Linked DNA regions of Struthio camelus. The protein of the gene in region 3 purifies or fractionates together with the protein of the main gene of each other region. This does not show direct contact. Links are inferred from orthologs where the notes say so. Each region holds a gene or a part of one and is shown on either strand. Other genes may lie near its edges.

Region 1 (7,813 bases), on a different chromosome or scaffold from region 3:
ATTTTAGCAGATATTGAGCGGGGGAGATAGAAGGAGGGGTCACTTATTTTAGACACAGCCAGGATATTCTCCTCCTTTGGAAAAAGAACAGTTGTTTTCTTTGAGCCTCTACCCTGGCAATGCTGCTGGCAGCAGAGGATGAAGGAAATGCTTGCTTTCCCTTGTGGATGGAAACAGGAGGAAGAAAAAGGCAGGTTCATTGCCATCCTCAGTCACCAAGAATTAGTGATAGGCTCAGGTATTGCAGAAAAGAGTGCTGGAAATCCACCTTCTTCCCAGAGTTGGTAGACTGTTAGTGCTTTTCCATCAGCGTGGGTCTCGACCTCTCTTCTGCATGGTGCATCCACCACATTACTCCTGATTCTTGCCCATCCTAGTGACACGGGTCAGACCTGAGCCTAGTCAGCTCCTCTTATAGCCCAGATTCCCCCCATATGGCAGGGTCCTGTTCCAGTTCAGGGCTGGTACAGAGCAGAGGCAGACCCTGACCTGTATGACTGCTACAGTAGACTGGATTGCCATGGGGGCAGCCCACCTGGTCTCTGGCCATCCTGCAACAGCACCTCCATCCATCCAACATACAGTGCAAAATGCACTCTGATGCAGTATGGACTGGATTTTCATGATCCTGTTGGTTCAGGTGTGGGAATAGAAAGTCTTTCCTGCAACAGAGTCCTCTGCAAGGAGCAGACGAGCATCAGCCATTGTACCTCCAGCAGCCCCAGGTTGAAGGGAGACAGGAACCAACATCACTACTAGACACTCTACAAGCTCCAGGAATCTTCTCAGCTGCCCTGGGAAGTACTGTGCAAGAAAGAGGCCCCAAACATAGTTTTACAGGTTGCCACAGCTCCTGAGCTTGGTGCCCAGAGGCCTTGCTCAGGAGAGGGACACCATCTTTCCTACTCCTCAGGGGCCTGGATGGAAAGTGCATGTCATCCCAAGGCTGAATTAGCCTACAGAGAGCCTGCGTGCAGAGCTAGGCCATCTCCAGCCACTGCAGGGGTTAAAAACCAATCGCTCATGAAACAGCCAAACTTCCTCCTAGCCATTTCTGAAGCCCAAGACCAGCAACAATCCCTGTTTCAGCTTCACTGTTTTCTTTAATGCTCTTTCCCAGTGCAAATTTAACAGAGAGGATGCAGGATTACATAGCTACCTGGCTGCCCTGTGTGTGCATGCCCCATCTGTGCACTGTGAGATCAAGTACTGGAAAACGCACCAAGCAGCTCTGCAGGCAGCGTTATTGCATAAGCAGATTACCTAGCACCTGACCTGCAGACAAGGGTTTACAGTGCTAAAATTGGCAGGCTCCTACCACGAGTTAAAATGAGATAAAGAAAAAGTATTACATGCTGCAGGGTAATTATAGAGATTCCCATTTTAACCTGAACTGGAAATATTATCAGTTTGGCAACCTCTTGCTGGTTTATGTAGCTCGCTCCTTCAGAGCCACATGCCCCCCTTATGCCTGTGCATGCTCACATATGTTCTCCTCTAAGAGCAGGGCTTGGAGGGTAAGTACAGGTCCCTCCCACTCTACCCTGTGCACAGATTTGGCATACAAGCAATATGCCCCCTGTCCAGTCAGAGGATGACCCATTTTTCTTCTTTCCTCCCACCCAACAGCACCAGGCTTCACAGCATAGGTGTCAAAGGAATCAACGTTCACCCTGTCAATCTCTACAGCTTTGTAAATTGTTTTATCCAACAATGGGTTTTGATCCTCCTTCGGCATAACCAGAGCAAACTCAAAGCTCAGGGCTTTGATCCACTGCCCAAACGCCTACTTGAAAACTACAACCAGACCCAGCTGACTGGAGCAGCTTGAGAGAAATACGCCCTTCCACATGCGTGCAGGGCTCTCCACAGTGATAAGCCTATGAGAAAACAGGCTGGGCAGCTGGATAGCTCAAATACAAAGCCAAATCGTTTATTACAACTTCCATAAATAGAAAAAAAAGACAGCTGTGAAAGCAGTCTTCCTCATCCTACCCTCTGGGCTGGAGAGAGGTGGGAATTCAGCTCCTTGCGCTCCTAGGCTTCAGGTGCCTGTCAGTGACAGTGTTTGTGACAGTGATGGGATTTCTCCTCTCTCCTTTGCCTGGGAGCTCTGCCAAGGCACCGCTCCCAGTTGCACAGCTCACTGCTGAGTTATCAGATACTAAAGAGTTTCTGAGCTTTGTCTCCCTTTTCTGCCTTCTCGCCAGACTCTCGGTACTGGATTTATGAAGGTGAAAGACGGGTTTCTGGCCCTACCCCTATTGCGGAGCTGGGCCTCCCTGCTTCCCCTGTCCAGGCAGCTTTGGTGTGGGGGGCTGAGAAGAACAAGATCTACATCTTCAGCGGAGGCAACTACTGGCGCTTCAACCCTCATACCCGTCAAGTGGACAACATCTACCCTCGGACCATGGCTGACTGGCGTGGCGTCCCTCAGGAGACTGATGCTGCTTTCCAAGATGAGTTTGGTCAGTGCCAGAAGGGACAAGGCCTGCTCTGGGGTGGTCTTTCAGGCTGACCTCGCTTCCCAGCTGGAAGAACTGGGCAGATTTAGATGCTTAATAATAATGGACATTTTCCAGCCATTGCACATGATATACAGTGTATGGAGAGCAAGGCAGCTCCCTCCAGTGGGGAGGGAACTGAGGCTTCTCTCACTGAAGTAGCAAGCCTTGTAATTATTAATTGCAAAAATTAGTTAACAGCTATGCATCTGATAGAGAGAATTCAAACTTCTCACAAAGAAATATTCATGGAGTCTTGCCCAGCTGCTACCACTTCCCACAGAGGAAGAGATGAGATGTCACCAGAACCGCTGCCCACATTTCAGCCTAGGTAGCTGTCCTGAATGAGCAGGCTGCTTCCAGTATTAGCTAGTCCTCCCAGAGGTGTCCCATGCAGTGCCACAGATACACTGGGTGCTTGGGATGACGGCTGTGCAACTCCCTCTCTCCCAAAGGATGTGGTGGAATAACTCACTGGTGCTTCCAGTAATGACCTAAAATCCCAGAGAAATTTCCCTACGGTAACAGATACTCTTTAGCAGGTCTTCACAAACTCCCTTCCATCGGTCCTGTTCAGATCCTAAACTCCCTCTGCCCTTCCAGGGCTAGGCTACTACACTGGCACAGCATATTTAAAATCACCCAATATGTAAAATAAAATCCATCCTGTTTGCTCTTCCATCAAAACTAAAGCCATGTGAAAGAACAGTGCAAGTCACAAATCTGGAAAAGGCTGAAGATGCAGCTAGATTCATTTCACTTGAATCCAGGCTCTCTTTTAGTACTCCACATCCCATGTGCTGTGGTGCATCAGCAAAACAAAATGCTAGGAAAGAGCTGAGCTGTGTGGGCCTTGTCTTTCCTAACCCTTTATCTCCCATCTACAGGTTTTGCCTATTTCCTGAGAGGCCAAGATTACTGGAAATTTGACCCAGTCCAGGTGAAAGTGCTGGAGGGTTACCCACGCCAGATCAGCCAGGACTTCTTCAGCTGCACACCTTCCTCCAACTCCTTCCGATGAAGAGGGGGATGCTCACGTCCTCCACATTTCCCTCTCATCTCCTTTATCTCCAGCAGCCACACAGACACAGGGTTCTCGCTGCCACTCCTGGCTTCCTTTAAGGCTCAGCATCTGATACAACTGATGCCTGTCACAAGTGACAAAGGTTGCTCCTCTCCAGTTCCAGCAGCCTCCAAAATAAAGTGTCTGGCACATTCTCTACAAACAGAGCAGCCACTAAACTGCTAAAGTGGCCAAGCTCTTCCAACAATGGCATCCCAAAAGCCTTTGAGCAAGCCTGAAATGGGATCAGGCTTTCCTAATTAACCTGGACCCTATCATGTTAAACTGATCTGGTGGTATTTCCTATGTTTACATTGCTCACAGTAGCATCCCATTTGCTGTTCCAGACATTGGCCTCAGAGGAAGGATTCCACTGAGATGCCTTCCTCACCCTTAGCCAGGGAGTTTTACGGACACTGACTGCCTATGGAGAAATTCAGACGTGTAGCCATGTTGCCAGGGTCACTTCACCACAGCTGCAATGGTGAATACCAATACCCTGTCACAGCTCTACTCTTGGTTTTATGTTGTATCACTAGTATGCGTTAGAATTTTATACTGTTTTGTAAATAGACAATGTGCCTCCTTCCTTCCAAGACGCTAGGTTTCAGTGCTGGTCACTGCCCTATTGCTCCGTATGTTCTTTTTAAGTTAGGTTCCTGGTATTAGGTTGCTCATTACCGCACTGATGGGTCTCGTCCCACTCACTATTTCCAGCAGACAGGTCCATCCGGACACCATTCCGACAATGCACAAGCCTCAGTTCAGCTCTTTGCACATGCTACACAGCAGTATGGGGAGGAAAGAAAAAAAAAAAAAAAAGGGAAAGGGTCTCTTCCTTTCAAACTCGCGACCCACTCACGCGCCTCACCGCCCCCTCCTCCCTGGGGGACGAAAGGAAGACAGCCGTTCAGCTCCGCGCCGCCCGGGGGCCGAGGACGGCGCGGGGAAGCCCCCGGCCCGGCCGCTCCGCGCTTGCACGACGCGCACGACCCCCGCGATATATACTGTGTATATATTTGTGTACTGTGCTGTACCAATAAACCGGCCTCCTGCCCAAGCGCCGCCTGCCTCGCCCTGCCTCGCCACCGGCTCCCGCGGCGGAGCGTTACCTCAACGCGCGACCGTTAACGGCTGCCGCCGCCGCCCCACCCCCTCCTCAGGGACCGCCCTCCCCTCGCGGTGAGGCGGCAACGGCCGCGCGCGGCCTCTTTCGCCGCGCGCGGCGCCTTTAAGGCCCGGCCGGCGGGGGCGGGGCGCCCCGGCGCATGCGCGAGGCGGCGCTCGGACTAGGCCGCGGCGCTGCTCGTCGTTGCCGCCGCCGCTGCCGCCGGCTCTCGCGCTCGCCCCGCTCAGGACCGCGGCGCTGCCGCCGCCGCCCCGCGCCGCCGCCACGATGATGATGATGGCGCTGAGCAAGACCTTCGGGCAGAAGCCCGTCAAGTTCCAGCTGGAGGAGGACGGCGAGTTCTACATGATCGGCTCCGAGGTGCGGCGGGACGCGCGGCCCCGCGCACAATGGCCCGGGCGGGGCAGGGCGGGACTCGGCCCTGGGGGGGGCGGGGGGATGTCAGGGGAGGTATAGGGGTGGGTTGGGGGGATGGTCGGGGGGTGGGGGGCGCCGGGCTCGGTGGAGGCCCGGGGGGCCCAGGGGGAAGTTATGGAGGTGGCCGGACTCGGGGGGGGGGTTGTGGGGAGCTGGGGGGGGCTGAGCTCGGAGGGGCCGCTCTGGGGAGCTATAGGGGTCCGGAGCTCGGGGGGGGGGTTGGGTTTGGAGAGGGAGGTGGGCTGTAGGAATCTATAGGGGGTCCCCGGCTGGGGGGAGTGGGGAGCCGTGGGGGAGTCCTGAGCTCAGGGGGAGTCATGGGGGGGCTGGGCTGTGGAGAGTCTGTAGAGAGCTATGGGGGGCTGGGCTGGGGGGAGCTATGGGGGATGGGCTGGGGGGGGTCTAGGCTCAGGGCTGGGGGGAGCTATGGGGGATGGGCTGGGGGGGTCTAGGCTCAGGGCTGGGGGGAGCTATGGGGGATGGGCTGAGGGGCTGCGGGGAGCTATGGAGGGTGGGCTCAGGGGTCTGGGCTCAGGGCTGGGGGGAGCTATGGAGGGTGGGCTCAGGGGTCTGGGCTCAGGGCTGGGGGGAGCTATGGAGGGTGGGCTCAGGGGTCTGGGCTCAGGGCTGGGGGGAGCTATGGAGGGTGGGCTCAGGGGTCTGGGCTGGGGGGCTGCGAGGAGCTATGGAGGGTGGGCTCAGGGGGTCTGGGCTCAGGGCTGGGGGGAGCTATGGAGGGTGGGCTCAGGGGTCTGGGCTGGGGGGCTGTGAGGAGCTATGGAGGGTGGGCTCAGGGGTCTGGGCTCAGGGCTGGGGGGAGCTATGGGGTCTGGGCTGGGGGGCACTATGGAGGGTGGGCTCAGGGGGCTGGGCTGGGGGGAGGGAGCATGGCAGGGCTGGGCTCAGAGTAGGGCAGGGGCTATGGGGTGCCTGCTCGCACCTGGGGGGAAGTGACATGAGGGCTCCCGGAGGGGGAAGTCTGTGCCATGGGAGCTCGTGGTGAGGCTCGCGCAGGAGAGGCCTAGGAGTCTCCCCTTGCACCCCGGGAGGGGATCCTGCCCAGCGTGGTGCTGCCAGCCCTGCAGGTCCTCTCCGCTGCGCGCGCTGGCGGCTGTTGCGCGGGCAGCAGTTTGGGCTCTCAGCGGTCGAGCTGGGGCATCTCACCTTTGCTGGGGTCAGCGCTCCCAGCAAGGGCGGCTCTCACAAGTCACACGTGTCTGTGTACATCACGGAGTATAGAGGCTGGTTCCTCTGTGGGTCACAGCCTTGGGCCCCAGTATTATGTCCTGCTCCCCTCTGCTTGAGAGTTGCTGAGCTTTATGGCCTGATGCTCTAACTTGTGACATTTTTGTAGCGTGCTTGTTCGAACATTTGGGATTATTTCAGATGCTCTGAGGTGATTTAAGTCAACATCTAGGCCTTTATGCTTAGTAATAACAACAGCATCAGCCAGTGCAGCCTCTTCAGCCTTGTGTAGAATTTCAGCACCCCAGTGTATTTGCAGAAATGGTATTCTCTCGTGGTGAGAGGCTGCTTCTTGAAGGCTGGACTTAGTGAAGCAAGAAGCAGAGAAATGATTACAGTTGGAAAAGAACAGGAAAAGATGTAGGACAAGAAATCTTGGATAACTTAAATTGTCAACTGTACATGTTGAGCAGGGACTCAAGATCACTCACTCTCTTGAGAGCGTGTGAAATGTTTCCTAGAAGAACTGTAACTGCAGTCAGCAAATCTGCGAGTTTGCAATACCAGATGTGTGCAAGGGGAAAAGAGAGTTGCCTTTTTATGTACAAGCTAATTTCTGTCTGTTGATGAGTCCTGTAGAGAAACAGATAAGATTAACAATTATCTGAAATTAGATCTTAGGACCAAAACGAGTCTTGAAAAACAAACCTTGTTGTGTGGCAGTCCGCAAGTATATTGCCAGTCTAAAATTTTAGTTTTGTAGTCTAGAAATAGTACTTTAGCAGATCTTGGTGTAGCTTTCAGTGTGGGTGTGAATCTTGCACCGAGGGAAAATGGAACTGCTTTACAGATGCCAAGTAAATTTGAGAGAGGATTGTTGTTAGTGTTCATGTTCTATATGTTCAAAGAATTTTAAATAAAACACAAGGCAAGTCTCTGGGCTTTGCTATATCCAAGTGATATCTGGATGGCACAGAGGTTCAAAGTAAAAATAATATTGTTGGACAGCTAGGTATCTGGTTTGATGTAATTTCTAATGAGCATTGTTCATTGGAACAGCAACTGGAGTAGAGGAAACATTAGACTGTTCAAAAATACATGAAAATGAATGGGTTTTCCTATTAAATGGATTATTGTCGATGGATGAGAGTTTTTTCTTATCAGACTAGTGAAATAAATGCTGATAAAAGCTTTTTCTGTATTGCTGCAAAAATTGGGCTATATGCTATATGATGAGCCTTTTGGCAAAAAACCAAAACAAATACATCTTCTCTAGAGGTCCCAGTTGTCATTACCAAGTCCTGAATTTGCTTCGGGTTCTGCTAAATATCTTTCTAGACGGAACGTATTTCCAGGCCGTGTCTCCCCATTCCTCCTTGTAGGTGGGGAACTATCTGCGTATGTTCCGAGGTTCCCTGTACAAGAGATATCCCTCACTGTGGAGGCGACTAGCCACAGTGGAAGAGAGGAAGAAGATAGTGGCATCTTCACACGGTAAGAAGATGAGTAAACATT
Region 2 (7,188 bases), on a different chromosome or scaffold from region 3:
TTTTCCCCCTTTGTTTTACGCTTTCCCTCGCCGGAACGACGGCAAAACCGGCTGGGAAATCCTCACGGAAAATACCGAGCGTTGGCAGCTTTTTCCCGTCGTGCAAGCGCAGTGGGTTTTGAGTCTCCCCGCTTCTGCGCGGCGCCGTTCTTAGCCGCGAGCTTGTTTCCCCGCGGGGCGATCGTCCGCTTGGCGGGGTTTCGCTTCGAAATCCCTCCCTCCTCAGGGAGCCGGGCTGTCGCCCCCGATCCCGTAGCGGTCGGCCGGCCGCCAGGGCCGGGGAGGAGGAGGAAAAGGAAGAAAACCGACGGGCGCTGAAGGGGTCGGGCTGGCGGCGGCGCCGCATCGGTCCTGCGCCGACGGCAGCTCTGTGGCTTCAGGAGGGCAGGGAAAAACGCACATCTCCCACGTCGCCGTCAGCGGCTCCGCTTCGTTTATGCTCCTTTTAATTAAGAGTAGGATTTGAGACCTCCCCCCCCCCCGTTTTGTTTTTTTTTAACATCTCGAGCAAGGGCTTCAGCCCTCTCGGTGAAGGAAGGAGAGCGATTTTTGCTGCGAGACAGCAGAAATCAGCGGTCGCCCTTGCTGCAGCGAAAGCTAATTTTGGGGGGCGAAGCGAAGGGATCGCAAGGCGTTTGGCTCGCTCGGGAGTTTGCGGCCCGGAGGGGGCGTTCCGTGGCGATTTGTGCAGGTAAAACGTGGAAGTTCGGAGCTAGCTCCAAAACACGAGCCCCCTTTTTGGGAAGGGCCCTGTCCTGGCCCGTTGTACCTCCCTCGTCCGCTCGGTTTCATCGCCAGGTCGCAGTTTCTGTCCTTTCTCTCCGGCGTTTTTCCGTGCTGCCGAAGCAGGTGGTGTTCCCCCCCCCAAGGCCGCCTGCGGTGGTCCCGCGTGTCCTTTGCGGCGGCTCTACTTAATTAGCGTACGTTTAGCGAGCGCTTGGAGAGCCTGGAAGAGAAGGCAGAGCTTTACTTAGCAGCGGCCACCACCGTTGTCTTTGGGCTGTGGGCACGGCCAAGCCAGGCCAGATCCGGGCCCGACAGCAGGGCTCCTGCTGTTCCACCTCAACCCGCAGGAGACCTCAACCCGCAGGAGACCTCATCCTGCAGCACGTCCTGCTCCCCACGTCTCCCACTGTCCAACGCCACCTTCTCCCCGTGTCTCCCGCTCTCCAACCCTTCTCCCCGCGTCTCCCGCTCTCCAACCCACCTTCTCCCCGCATCTCCCGCTCTCCAACCCACCTTCTCCCCGCGTCTCCCACTGTCCAACGCCACCTTCTCCCCGTGTCTCCCGCTCTCCAACCCTTCTCCCCGCGTCTCCCGCTCTCCAACCCACCTTCTCCCCATGTCTCCTGCTCTCCAACCCTTCTCCCCGTGTCTCCCGCTCTCCAACGCCACCTTCTCCCCGCATCTCCCGCTCTCCAACGCCACCTTCTCCCCGCGTCTCCCGCTCTCCAACGCCACCTTCTCCCCGTGTCTCCCCCGCTCTCCAACCCTTCTCCTTGCGTCTCCCGCTCTCCAACGCCACCTTCTCCCCACGTCTCCCCCGCTCTCCAACCCACCTTCTCCCTGTGTCTCCCGCTCTCCAACGCCACCTTCTCCCCACGTCTCCCCCGCTCTCCACCCCACCTTCTCCCCGCGTCTCCCGCTCTCCAACCCACCTTCTCCCCACGTCTCCCGCTCTCCAACCCACCTTCTCCCCACGTCTCCCCCGCTCTCCAACCCCACCTTCTCCCCACGTCTCCCCCGCTCCAACCCCACCTTCTCCCCGCTCTCCCACCCCACCTTCTCCCCGCGTCTCCCCTGCTCCAAACCCATCTCTCCCCCCATGTCCCCTGCTCCCAGCCCCTTCCCCTCACAGACCCCCGGCCTGTGCCCCCTCACGAACCCCCTTCCTTCTTGGAACCCCTTTCCCTGGGCCTTGCCCCCTCGTGGACCCCCTCCCCTCGTGGATCCCTTCTCCTCACAGTCCCCTCCCCTCGTGGACCCCTTCTTTCATGGATCCCCTTCCCTCGTGGACCCTCTTCCCCAGGCCTTGCCCCCCCGTAGACCCCTTCCCTTCATGGACCCCCTTCCCTTCATGGACCCCCTCCCCTCGTGGACCTCTTCCCCAGGCCTTGCCCCCTCGTAGACCCCTTACCTCATGGACCCCCTCCCTCAGAGACCCTTTTCTTCATGGACCCCCTCCCTCATGGCCTTCCTTCGTGGACCCTCTTCCCTCATGGACCCTCTCCCCTCGTTGACCCTCTTCCCCAGGCCTTGCCCCCTCCTGGACCTCTTTCCTCATGGACCCCTTCTCTCATGGACCCCCTCCCTCAAAGACCCCTTTCCTTCATGGACCCCTCCCCTCGTGGACCCCTCCCCTCATGGACCCCCTCCCCTCGTGGACCCCTTTCTTCATGGACCCCCTCCCTCAGAGACCCCTCCCCTCTCATGGACCCCTCCCCTCATGGACCCCTCCCCTCATGGACCCCCTCCCCTCGTGGACCCCTCCCCTCGTGGACCCCCTCCCCTCGTGGACCCCTCCCCTCATGGACCCCCTCCCCTCGTGGACCCCTTTCTTCATGGACCCCCTCCCTCAGAGACCCCTCCCCTCTCATGGACCCCTCCCCTCATGGACCCCCTCCCCTCATGGACCTCTTCCCTCATGGACCCCTCCCCTCGTGGACCCCTTTCTTCATGGACCCCCTCCCTCAGAGACCCCTCCCCTCTCATGGACCCCCTCCCCTCATGGACCTCTTCCCTCATGGACCCCTTCCCTTGTGGACGCTCTTCCCCGGGCCTTGCCCCCTCCTGGACCCCTTCCTTCATGGACCCCTCCCCGACCCCCTCCCCTCCTGGACCCCCTCTCTCAGAGACCCCTCCCCTCTCATGGACCCCTTTCTTCATGGACCCCCTCCCCTCATGGACCCCTTTCCTTCATGGACCCCTCCCCTTGTGGACCCCCTCCCTCAGAGACCCCTCCCCTCTCATGGACCCCTTCCTTCATGGACCCCTCCCCTTGTGGACCCCTCCCCTCATGGACCCCCTCCCCTCATGGACCCCTTTCTTCATGAACCCCCTCCCCTCGTGGACCCCCTCCCTCAGAGACCCCTCCCCTCTCATGGACCCCTTCCTTCATGGACCCCTCCCCTTGTGGACCCCTCCCCTCATGGACCCCCTCCCCTCATGGACCCCTTTCTTCATGAACCCCCTCCCCTCGTGGACCCCCTCCCTCAGAGACCCCTCCCCTCTCATGGACCCCTTCCTTCATGGACCCCTCCCCTTGTGGACCCCTCCCCTCATGGACCCCCTCCCCTCATGGACCCCTTTCTTCATGAACCCCCTCCCCTCGTGGACCCCCTCCCTCAGAGACCCCTCCCCTCTCATGGACCCCTTCCTTCATGGACCCCCTCCCCTCATGGACCCCCTCCCCTCATGGACCTCTTCCCTCATGGACCCCTTCCCTTGTGGACGCTCTTCCCCGGGCCTTGCCCCCTCCTGGACCCCTTCCTTCATGGACCCCTCCCCTCGTGGACCCCTTCCTTCATGGACCCCCCCGACCTCCCCCCTCGTGGACCCCCTCTCTCCCTCCCCCCGACCCCTCCCCTTCGCCGCAGTGGCGCGGCCAGTGCGCATGCGCGGAGGGAGGGGGGGAGCCGCCGTCAGCGCCGAGCGGGCGGCACGCGGCACGCGCCTCGCTCGCCCCGCCCCCCGCCTCTCCTCCCGCCACCCCATTGGCTGCGGCGGGGATGGAGCCAGCGCCGGGGCAGGTTGCGCAGCGCCGATTGGCTGCAGCGCGCGCGCGCGCGCGCGGGCGGGCGGGCGGGCGCGCGAGATAGGAAAGCGGGGAGGGGGGGGGCCTGTGGGGTCTCTCCCATTGGCTGCCTCGCCGAGCGGTAGTGGGCGGGCCTTCCCCCCCTCCTCCCAGCCGGCTGGTCCCCGCCTCATTGGCCGAAGAGCGTGCCTGCCGCCCCTTCTCACCAATAGGAGGCGCGCTGCTGAGGAGCGGGTTCTCCGCGCTGCCATTGGCTGTCGCGGGGAGGGGGGCGGGCGCACGCCGGCTCTCCGCTGCCCTCATTGGCTGCGCTGGCGGAGGGGGCGGGTGAAGTGCGCAGGGGGCGGTGCGCACGGAGGCGGGGAAGGGGAGGGAGAGAAGCCGAGCCGGCGCGCATGCGCGCTGCCTGCCTGCCTGCCTGGGGGGGCGGGGTGGGGGCGCGCGCGGGCGGCGGGGGAGGCGCGCGCGCGCGGCTCGCGCTCCCTCACACACGGCGGCGGCAGCGGCGGCGGTGGCGGCTCCTTTGTTCCCGCCGCGCCGCGCCGCGGGCTCGGCCGCCCCGCCGGGTATGGACCCTGCCGGCGGCGACCAGCGCGGTAAGGGCCGGCGGGGGCCTGTCACGGCGCCCGGGCCGGTCCCTCACTGAAAGGGACCGGCGGGGTTGGGGGGGGGGGGAGGGAAGACGCTGTGGGAGGTGGGGGGGGCGCGCTACGGCGGCCCCGGAGGGTCACGCGAGCTCGGCGTCGCGCTCCCGCCCATTGTTCGGGGCTGGGGGCGGGGGGGGGGGGAGGCGGTGTGGGAGCGGTCTCTCCCTTCCCCCCCCCCCAACCCGCCTCAACGAGCGCTCACCGGTTCCCCCCCCCTCCCAAACATCATCATCATCATCATCATCCCTCCTTCCGTGGGGCCTTTGCATTCCCGGCGCCCTTTCCACCTGGCATCGCTGCTCCCCCTCTCCCCCCCCCCCGGTTCATCTCCCCCCCTCCCCCAACCTTCATCGTCCTACCTGCATCCCTTCCTTTCATCGACCCCCCCCTTCCATCAACTCCCCCCCCCCGCACCCCCGACCCCTTCCATCAACCCCCCCCCCGCACCCCCGACCCCTTCCATCAACCCCCCCCCCGCACCCCCGACCCCTTCCATCAACCCCCCCCCCCGGCACCCCCGACCCCTTCCATCGACCCCCCCCCGCACCCCCGACCCCTTCCATCGACCCCCCCCCGGCACCCCGACCCCTTCCATCGACCCCCCTCCCCAGCAACCCCGACCCCTTCCATCGACCCCCCTCCCCAGCACCCCCCACCCCTTCCATCGACCCCCCTCCCTGGCATCTCCTACCCCTTACTGACCCCCCCCTTTTCATTACCCCCCCCGCGTCCCCCCCTTTTCATTACCCCCCCCGCGTCCCCCCCTTTTCATTACCCCCCCGCGTCCCCCCCTTTTCATTACCTGCCCGCGTCCCCCCCTTTTCATTACCTGCCCGCGTCCCCCCCTTTTCATTGTCCCCCTGCATCCCCCCTGCATCCCCCGCTTTGATTGTCCCCCCCGCATCCCCCCTTTCATTGTCCCCTCCCTTCAGCACCCCTCTGCCTCCCCTCCTTTCATCACCCCCCCGCATCCCCTTCTTTCAGCACCCCCCCAGGCCCCCAGCCCCCCCATCCTCCCCCTCTGCAGCCTGCTTCAGCATCCTTCCACTGTAGCCTTTCCCCCAGCGCCCCCCTCCTTTCAGCCCCCCCAGTGCCCCTCCTTCCAGGCATCCCCCCCCCCAGTTCCCCTTCGGGCTCCCCCCTCTTGCAGCCCTCCCTCCGCTCTCCCCTTCTCAGCCTCCTTCCTGCAGGCCCCCCCCCCCCAGCTCTTGCAGCCCTCTTCCCCCCCACCCCCAGCGTGGGGGGGGCTCTGCCCCCCAGCTCCCCACCCCGCCTCCCCCCTGCCCCTCGCTCAGCGGCAGCCTGTGCTGCTGGCAGGTTGGGTGATGGGGGTCAGGGACGCCGCAGTGCCCCCCCCTCAGCCCCCCGTCAGCATCTCCCTTCAGCAGGGTCGGTTGCACCCCCTCCGCCCCATCCGTTTCCCCGCAACCTGCCGAGCATTCGCTGTCCCCCAGCGCTGTCTCCCGGGGGGGGATCCGTGTCGCCCCCTCCTTTACGCCCCCCTTTGGCATCCCTTCTCCCCCGCTTTGTGGGGTGCTGCCCGTCCTCTGGAGCACCCGTCTTCCCCGGGGCATTTCCCCTCCCGTCGGCAGGGCCCCCGTCCTGCGTCCCTGAGCGTCCCTGTCCCCCCTCCCCGGAGCGTCTCCCCTTTATTGCTCCTCCTCTCCCCGTCGCTCTGCTGTTTGTCCTTCTGGAGGACGCCGTTTCTCCACCCTGTGAGATCCCCCTCGTCCCACCTTACTGCCCTTCTCCTGCCCTCCAGCTTCTCACGCCGGGCCAGCACCCCTCACTCTTTATACCCTACTGCCCCTTCCCGGCTTCTGTCTCTTCCGTTGTGGCTTCTTCCTCCCGTAGCTGCGTTTTTGTGGCGCCGTCTGGGTTTCAGCACCAGCTTCCCTGGTCTCCAAGGGATCTGCTCCTCGTTCTGCACCTCCTTCCTGAAATACTGATAGCAGCGTCCCCCCCCACCCCGTCCGCGAGCAGTGGCCCTCTGCCGTCGCTCTCATCCTGTCCTCAGGTCGCCTGCTGCCCCCTCCCTGCTCTCCACCCCTAAAAATTAATCTGCCTTTTGCCCCCTTCCTGGGGGGGCTGCGATGCAGAGGGGTTATTGCATCCCTCGGGCTGACGGCATCCGGGCTGCATCCTCTGGCGCCCGAGCTGGTGGCCGAATCTGTGTATTCGCGCTGCCTAGGACAAAGCCAGGGGATGAAATCTGTCTGCCCTGGCTTCGCAAGAAGCTGCCCCGGCCTCCCGTCTTTGTGGCAGCGCGCCCTGTCCGTACGCGAAGGTTGGTCTCCTGCGCCGGCCAGAGGGGGATCGAGCCTTCCCTGCTGGCCGCCCCCGGCACAAAGCCCGTCCTGGCGTGAGCCGCGGCGAAAGAGAGCCGCCCCAGGGTGCTACGGAGGGTTTTTCGCGGCGCTCGGGTGCAGCCGCCCCCTCCTTGCTGCCCAAAAGCCCCTGCAGGAGCCTCCTCCCCCCACCCTCAGCCACCCCGCCGGAGGCACTCAAAGCACGTTGAAGCCCGGAGTGTCTTAATGCGGTTGCGGCCCCGTCGAAAAGGCGGGGGACGCGCGCTCGTGTCCCCCCAAGCGGAGGGGCTCGACTCCCCTCTCTCCTCCGCTGTGTTGTGCGTGGCGGCGGCGGTGGGGGGGGGGTTCGTGTCCCCGCTGCCGGCTGCGCGGCCTTTGGCGGCGACGTCTTTTGTTATGAGCCGGTGTCTTTCTCCCGGGCTGTAGCGCTGGTCTGTAACGACTGTTCCCCCACCGCGTCTCGGCGACAGAGGCGCGG
Region 3 (7,649 bases):
CACTATTTCAGAAGAAAAAACGTGAATTTGTACAAGTAGTGTTCTCTATGTGCTGAATTTTTCCTTCTAACCCTGTAAAGAAAATCTACTGCAGAATTTCTTTACTTTTCGCCTCCATACTCTTACTCAGGGGATATTTCACAAGGTGTGTATGTGTGGGGGATGGGGAGGTGAAAAGGAGAAGAGCTCAAACAAGCGTATCATTTAAAATTTCACATATTAATGCTCTGAAATAAAGAATATGTTTGACTTTAAGACAGGGGATGCTACGATAATTCTGATCCAAATAAAATAACAAAAATATCATGCTTTAGTGTTTCCAATTAAGTTTGATTTGTCCAACCATTCCTGTCTACTATAAGAAATACATTTACTTCTGGAACAAAACAAAACAAAAAGAAAATAGTGAACTTTCAGCTCCCACTTGGCACAAAGTAGTGGATCGGCACCAAATGGCAAAGCAGCAAAATAATATTTGGCAAAAGACTGGAACTCAATTGCTGCTAAGGAGCATTCATGCAAATGCCACATGTGCCTAAACTACAGCCCTGAAAATAGCAGCCAAGAATGATCAAGTCCTCTCTTCTTTTTTGGAACCAGAACACTCCTTTCAAACCCCCCCCCCCCCACTTCTTTAAAAAGGGAAAGGGGGAGGAACCCAAGGAGAGAAAGACAGCAATTCAAAGCTGCTGTATGTGATCAATTCAGAAAGTTGCGTTAGTCTTAGTTATAATTGAATGATCTGTTTCAGCAAGACCTCCTAGAACAGAAGGTAGAGGCTACCGTAGAATTTTGATACTAAATGATGTAATCTGCAAAAATACATAAATTTGTTACTATGAACTACTTGGTAACCCAGGCATTTTAAAAGGAATCACCCACCTGTCTATTATTCTGATGTTAGGAACAAATTATGCTAAATAACAAACAGAATAAAGCTATCCCTATTACTCTGTTTTTCTAATTCTAGAAGAATCAAATATCAGCACAACTAGTCTAATAATCAAAAAACTGAACACAATTAAAATATTTTTAGTTTTGAAATGTAAATAGAAAATTTCAATACAGACATCAATAGATGGGAAAACAGCACAAAAATGACATCTTATTTTAAATACCCATTCTGACCCCACAGAACTGAATCAGTGCATCGCCACACTTCATCAAAAGATAGCCAGAAACCTTTCCTCGTATACTTGACACTAAACAGGCAGTTTTGATAAGTACCACTGATACTGATAGAAAGACCATCTGAGAGTAGTACAAGTAGTACATGACTTTGACCAAAGCCATTTGTATCAATCACATGGGAAGAGTCAATAGAAGACATTCAGTTCCAGTATATTTGAACTGCTTTGGAAAAAAACTCAGTTTTACTGTGGATCAAATATATACTCCACAAGTTCAGCTACCACTCTTCAGTGAAACAAAAAAGTTATAATGGTAAACAGCACGTACAGGCATCCAGATACTGTATTAAATGCCAACAGAGATTTATCAGATTTGACAACAAGCAGAATATACAAAGCTACAGTGAACAAAAGGGTGAAAAGAAGAAAGATTATGAAATACAAGCCGGTGTGCTATAATTGAATATCCAAAGAAACTGAAAAACCCAAAAACAAAAACATAACCACAAGTCCAGAATCATTCACGCAAAAAAGGAAAAACCAAAACACTACGAAAATATTTTCACTACTTAAACTTTAAGCTCTAAGCGGTATACAAATGAAAACTACAAGAGAATTTGAAGAGCAATGAACCGTAGTTTATTCAGCTAATGTATTTTTAATGCACTGAGGAAAAAACTTCAGAACTATAAGAAATAATAAGGTACCCATTTGATATCAAAATTCATTTAGTTACTTTTATCTGCAAAACATCACATTGTACAGTATTTTTTCCTTAATAAATCAGTGCTGAGTAGACAAACTCTGGTTTGTAGAACAAGGCCAGAATACAAGTTTGAAATGTCCTAAGAGGGGAGTTAGGGGAGGATAGGGCATCGCTGGCAGGTCTTCTTTACTCAATGGAGCTTCAGACTTGCTTTTACACTACTATGTCAAACCCCTGTGCACCGTTTGCAATGCCTTGCAGAGCAGTGACCACGAAGATCAAGGCTCTTAATCCTGACACTGAAAACCTTCTGCTCTGCTTCTACACTAAAACGTCTATTTTCAAATCGAGCGCAAGATCCATCCGAGGGCATCCCTGTCTTTTACTTGGGCGAAGGAGTGGACAAGGGGGAGGGGGGAAGAGAACAGTCAGACGATAGCTTCATAACCTCAACCGAGATAGCAATACCAAGTCATAACCATCCAACACTGCAAACTAACAGCTTTTTTTTTTTTTCCCCCCTTCCCTTTCCTTTCCACAGCCCCCACCCCCTTCGCTCGGGAGGAGGTGGGGACGAGAAGGGTGATCCAGAAGGCTGCGGGGAGCTGGGAATGGGGCTCCCGGCGCCCCTCTTTCCCCCCCGCGCCGCCCGCGCACGGAGCCGCAGGAGGTTATGTATCATTTTATAAAGCTACATTGTATCCTGTAGACGTGACCTGCAGACGCAGCAACGGGAGGCTGTTTGGGGGGGAACTGGATTGGGGGAGCAATGGAAAGGGAGCAGGGATGCTACCCTGGGAGGGGGGGGCAGGGTTCCCTTCCCCCCCCTCCCCCCCAGTTTTTTTCGCCCTGTCACAGCCCTGAGTTGCAGGTAGAGAGAGTTAAGAGATTTAAAGAGAAATTGCTACATTGTAACAAACTCACCGTGATGTTTGAGCAGCAGTCAGCGCGGGGTCTCCGAGACATCCCCGCACGGGCTCCGGAGGCAGGACCCCAGCAGGCACAGACACATAGAGGTTCAGCGCACTGCCTGATTGCATCGCCGCGGCGCCGCCGAGGAGCCGGCCGCCGGCCGCCAAGCGGGGAGCTCGGCTGCAACTGCATTTATTACCCAAAAAAATTTAAAAAAAAAAAAGAAAGAAAAAAAACCCACTTTACTCACACCTCTACGTACATATAAAAAAAATCTCCCCCCCCCGCCCCCGTTTGCTCCCACCCCTTTGGCAGCATTTGCATGCGCGACGCCCCACCCCTCGCTTTCAAAACAGCCCCGCAGCCGAGCGAGCGGCGGCGGCGGCCAGCAGCGCCGAGGGGCCGCGGGCGGCTGCGCAGGGGCCCGGCCCGGCCGCGCCGCCCCGCGCCCCGGCCGCCCCGCCGGCCACCCGGCTCCCTCGCACGAGCCGGCGTCAGGCACCGTGTCGCGACTAGGAGCAGTGACGTGCGCCTTTCTTTTCCGGGTGGGATTAAAGAGGGGGAAAAATAAAAAAAAGTCCCCAAATTCAGTAACCCCGAATTAAAAAAAATAAAAAAGGCAGCAGAACCTTCACTAGGCTACATTGTTGCAGCTTAAGGCAACAAAACTAGAACAATTTAAAAATGCATTTAACTTATACTTCATTTAAGGCCCAGTACTCCTCCAGTCTCCTAAGGAGCACAGGCCACTAAGTTGCATCCAGGTATGTTTATACCTGGAAATGCAGAAGGCTTAAAAGTACACTAAGTACACTAGTCTTGCACAGACTGAATTATGTGTCACAGGCAGGAGAAAAAAAAAAAAACAAAAAACCAAACCTACTTCCAGTTCCCAAGATCCCACATTAGCAGGAAATGGCTCAGGAAAGACAAGACAAATCATTCTCTACACTGCAGAGGACACTAAAACCTACCGAGTTCCCAAAATATAAACATGTGTAATTGGCACTCAAAACGTTTTATAACTTGTTGGCCCACTTAAGAGCTTACTGAAAGAGAAAACTGCTTCTGTATCATTCATTAAATGGAGAAAATGTTAAAACTAGCAGCCTCTCAGGTCCTGCATGCAGCCAGCACTATAGAGCGCTTCAAATACGTTAGCAACACAAATCAGCCCAGGACTGACAGACACTGCACTACAAACATTTTCAATACCGCATTCTCATCACGCTTGTTCCACCGAGGGGCAGATGGCCTGCACCAGGCCCTGGCCGTGGGTCCCTGGCAGCGTCCTGCATCCTCTAACCACCATCACAGCAAACCCGTCTGATGGGGTGCAGGAAAGCTTGACAATGGCTAGCAGGATTTCAACACACATTCTCAAAATGTTATCAACTACAAACATTTCAAAACCTTTGTCTCTGTAGGAAGGACCCGGCAGTTCCATCTCCAATGAGGGATGAAGGTTACCAGCTCCTCAGAAATGGGCCTCAAATAAGTATTCCTTCCCCCACTCCCTTATTATTTGGTAAGAATAAATGCACCTTCTAAGACCAACCCTTTCAAGACCATTGAGTTTTTCCTCTCAGTACGTTAGCAGCAGTTTTAGGCCCTGTTGAGGAAGGGGTGGGTGGGGGAGAAGGTGTTAAAACTTGATAATAATTATTCTTTTCTTGCTGTTTGAGTAGCTCCTTGAGAGCATCAAAAGATTAGGACCTCAAATCCTAAGCATCAAGACTTCAGAAATGCCAGGACCAGCACATTACTTTTTTTAGTTTAAAACATCTAAGTATTTTTAAAGGTACATCTGCAGTATGCACATTTTGCAAAAATCTCTTCCTCCTAAAAGACACAGAGATTGATATAGGAAAAAAATACATCCAGAGGAAGGAGGAGAATACAACTTCAAAAACTGTAACGACTAAGATCCACAGACATTTCTGAGGAGACCTTTTTTTCTAAGTTATAATCGCCTCATTTTTTATAGCGGGAACAATCAAGTGACACAGATAAATAAGCCAATAAAGTGTTCTCAATTATTTTTAATACACACTCATTACTGTGTCATCTGGACAGACAACACATACAAGCACACAACAGTATTACTACTAATCAAAAGAAATAATATTGACATAGCAAAATGGCTGACTTCTCTGAAGAAACACAACGTAACTGTAACTAAGGTGATTTACATCTTTAAATAATGATTTTTTTCTCCCTTAAATTTTCTTTTCTATATTTTTAAGTAGGCATAAATCATACTTCCATAAAATAAATTCCTCCAGCTAATTTTTACCATCCTAAATCTTGGCTGAGGAAAGAGCTGGAATTAAAACAGGAATGAAGTAGTGAATTTTACTTGCGATACGTATATGCCTTATTATTTGTTATAGGCCTGCAGTTTCTTCCAGGTATACCACTTTGGGTTTGGTCTTGAAAACATTCTTCTTTTTTTTTTAAAGCTACAAAAGACAATATTTAATATATATAATTAAATATTTATTTACAAAGGAGAAAGTTATATTTAAACAAAAAACTTCAGTATTTACTGCTGAAGAGGAACATTTTAAAACTGTTTTCTACTAACATTAAACACGGGCAAAAAAAACACTTGCCAAATTTGGCTCAATTATTGTTCGAAAAAAATAAAAATGCAAGTCATGTCAACATATTATGCACTTAAAATAGCATACTTTTATAACTGATCGTGAAGACATAGCAGCCAAGAAAACCTAAGACTGTCTTGGGTGGCAGGGAAGCTAGCTATGCTGAAAGCTCATGCTCAAGCAATCTTTTTTATTAGTATTACTAATTTTACGTGCTGACTACGCTCAGTGCTGGTGCATTTTCAGGCACAATCTTAAACTGGCTCTGTGCTCAGGCAGCACAAAGCACAGCTCAACCAAGGGTCCTCAACATACCAATTATAAACTGGTTCTGCCGGAGGAAGAGACACCGCTCCCGATTGGCCAAAAGTGGAGCAGCTCAGAGAGAAATGGGAAGGGCCAGATGCATTACCCTGCATCCTGATTAGACAGGTTAAATGTGATTGACCAGTGTGAGTAATTAATAATCTAGAGGCAGGGCTTTCTACTTTGTTTATACCCTTTGATTGGTTGAATTTGAATTAGATATACATTCTGTTTATACCTGGGTGGGACTATGGAGGGGTTTATTTTGGTGCATTACACTATAAAAGTGCAGTGCTAACCGAGCGCAGTGACAGTTTAACAGAGGAAGGAGACCGCAGTTTGAAGCGGCGGCAGCCGCCGCCACTTCAGTGGCAGCATCATCATTATTATTTCCTGGTTGTAAGTGGCCTTGCTATGAGCCTGTCAGATAACTGCTGAAAGCTAACCTAATCAGGAGCCATTAACGAAGTACAGAGGGCAACGCAATGGTTCCTAAAGTAGTTCGGAACTCGAAATAATTGGAGTAGGTGTGGAAAAGGAGATGAAAAACCTCTCCCTCTATAATCACATTCCAATCGCCATAAAGAATATCGCTTATAAACATGTTAAAGTAACACAAGGCACATTTACACTTGAATATTTTCTGTCTTTTAGCTGCGCCATACCATTCCAGAGCGCTGGAAAAATACAGTGGAGTCTGCCATGTCTAAAAAAATCTTGGCAGAAAGCCACAGTAAGTGATAATTAGAGTAACCCATGGGACAAGATTGTTCAAAGAGAGAGGCTAGTTTGAACTATGTTGCTATCAACAGATCTCTTAAAGCACACGGTTTATTTCCAAGTGGGAAGTGTTAATAATATTGTAAGAGATCTTTAAATCTTATTATGCTAATTCTACAACCATTTTTTTTCTTTCCTATACACTTTAGGCAACCTTTACTAGAGTAACAGATTGCTTCCCCACAGTTATATCCTGCTATTCTGAATAAGCAAGGGTCAAATTCACTGCTATAGTAAATGGATGCGACTTTGATGACTTCAGTTTGGTGTACCTCACATACAGCACGAAAATTTAGTCTTTAAATTTCACTGTTCAAAAGTAAAGAAAATGAGGCAAGTTAGATAAACCCTTTAACTTCCACAGAATTATTCACATACAAATACGCTGCCCTTAGACATCACTTTTTGTCAGCTGATCTCAAAAAACTTTTACAGCACGGCCAATACAGTTAAGTACGAGAGGAAGCCACAGGGAACTTTTATCATGGGGAGCTCAAATGATGCACTGTGGCAAAGCAGCAAACCCTCCTCAGCCTCCCGAATTGTGCAGTTCAGCACTCTTCAGGCCACGAAGCCCTCCCTAGGATGACGGCCTCTTGTTACTTTCTTAACATTAGGCCAGATCCTTTAGTAGAGTGAAACGTAACAGGGCCACGAATACAGCAAATGCACCAATCTATTCCAAGTAAAAACTTGGCCTATTGTAAGAAATAGATTCAAATCTTAGTCACGTCATGCAGTGTACTAGTTAATTGCTCTTTCTATACTGATACGGACCTGAAAATTCACTCTCAAGATAAGTTTGTCAAACCAAACACAAAGCAGAGTAATAAAAAAAAAAACAAAAAACCAAGCACCGGTATTTAAGCTTGCTTAAAATATACTGCTGATGACTAATACAATTACATACTATTTTTAATGCAATAATACCAAGGACTGAACCCTTAAAGGTTTGTTAATATCACTGTAGCCCATTCCTGCTTTAACCACTAGACTGCAGTAGCAGTAGTTGCTGCAGTACCATTCCAGTTTAAAACAGTGTAGTCTACTTACTTTCAGTTGATTTTTCTTCCACTTCTGAATTACTTTACTATGATTCAGGAGGCTCTAGATGACTGCTTTGTCAGCCAGACCAAGCCTGTGATACTGATAACAGAGCTTTTTCACTGGTAAAGTTAGAGCATTATTTCTATTAAGGGAGCAGTAATG

Evidence for each region. Proteins that work in one complex are often made in the same cells at the same time.
Region 1: the proteins of BICRA (region 3) and SMARCB1 purify together in Homo sapiens (affinity purification with mass spectrometry; 3 studies listed by BioGRID, with this or other methods). This does not show direct contact. The link is inferred for Struthio camelus from reciprocal best matches to the Homo sapiens genes BICRA and SMARCB1.
Region 2: the proteins of BICRA (region 3) and SMARCA4 purify together in Homo sapiens (affinity purification with mass spectrometry; 4 studies listed by BioGRID and IntAct, with this or other methods). This does not show direct contact. The link is inferred for Struthio camelus from reciprocal best matches to the Homo sapiens genes BICRA and SMARCA4.

Annotation. Positions count from the first base shown.
Region 1 is NC_090958.1:9,548,328-9,556,140, reverse strand, and holds the start of SMARCB1 (SWI/SNF-related matrix-associated actin-dependent regulator of chromatin subfamily B member 1), read left to right. Parts: upstream 1-4,807; 5' UTR 4,808-4,963; coding exon 4,964-5,056; intron 5,057-7,680; coding exon 7,681-7,792; intron 7,793-7,813. Other genes in the region: MMP11 (stromelysin-3), read left to right, coding at 2,211-2,468, 3,392-3,525.
Region 2 is NC_090972.1:4,652,423-4,659,610, reverse strand, and holds the start of SMARCA4 (transcription activator BRG1), read left to right. Parts: upstream 1-4,182; 5' UTR 4,183-4,350; intron 4,351-7,188. UniProt on the Homo sapiens protein: ATPase involved in transcriptional activation and repression of select genes by chromatin remodeling (alteration of DNA-nucleosome topology).
Region 3 is NC_090957.1:851,411-859,059, forward strand, and holds the start of BICRA (BRD4-interacting chromatin-remodeling complex-associated protein), read right to left. Parts: upstream 3,002-7,649; 5' UTR 2,941-3,001; coding exon 2,761-2,940; intron 1-2,760. UniProt on the Homo sapiens protein: Component of SWI/SNF chromatin remodeling subcomplex GBAF that carries out key enzymatic activities, changing chromatin structure by altering DNA-histone contacts within a nucleosome in an ATP-dependent manner.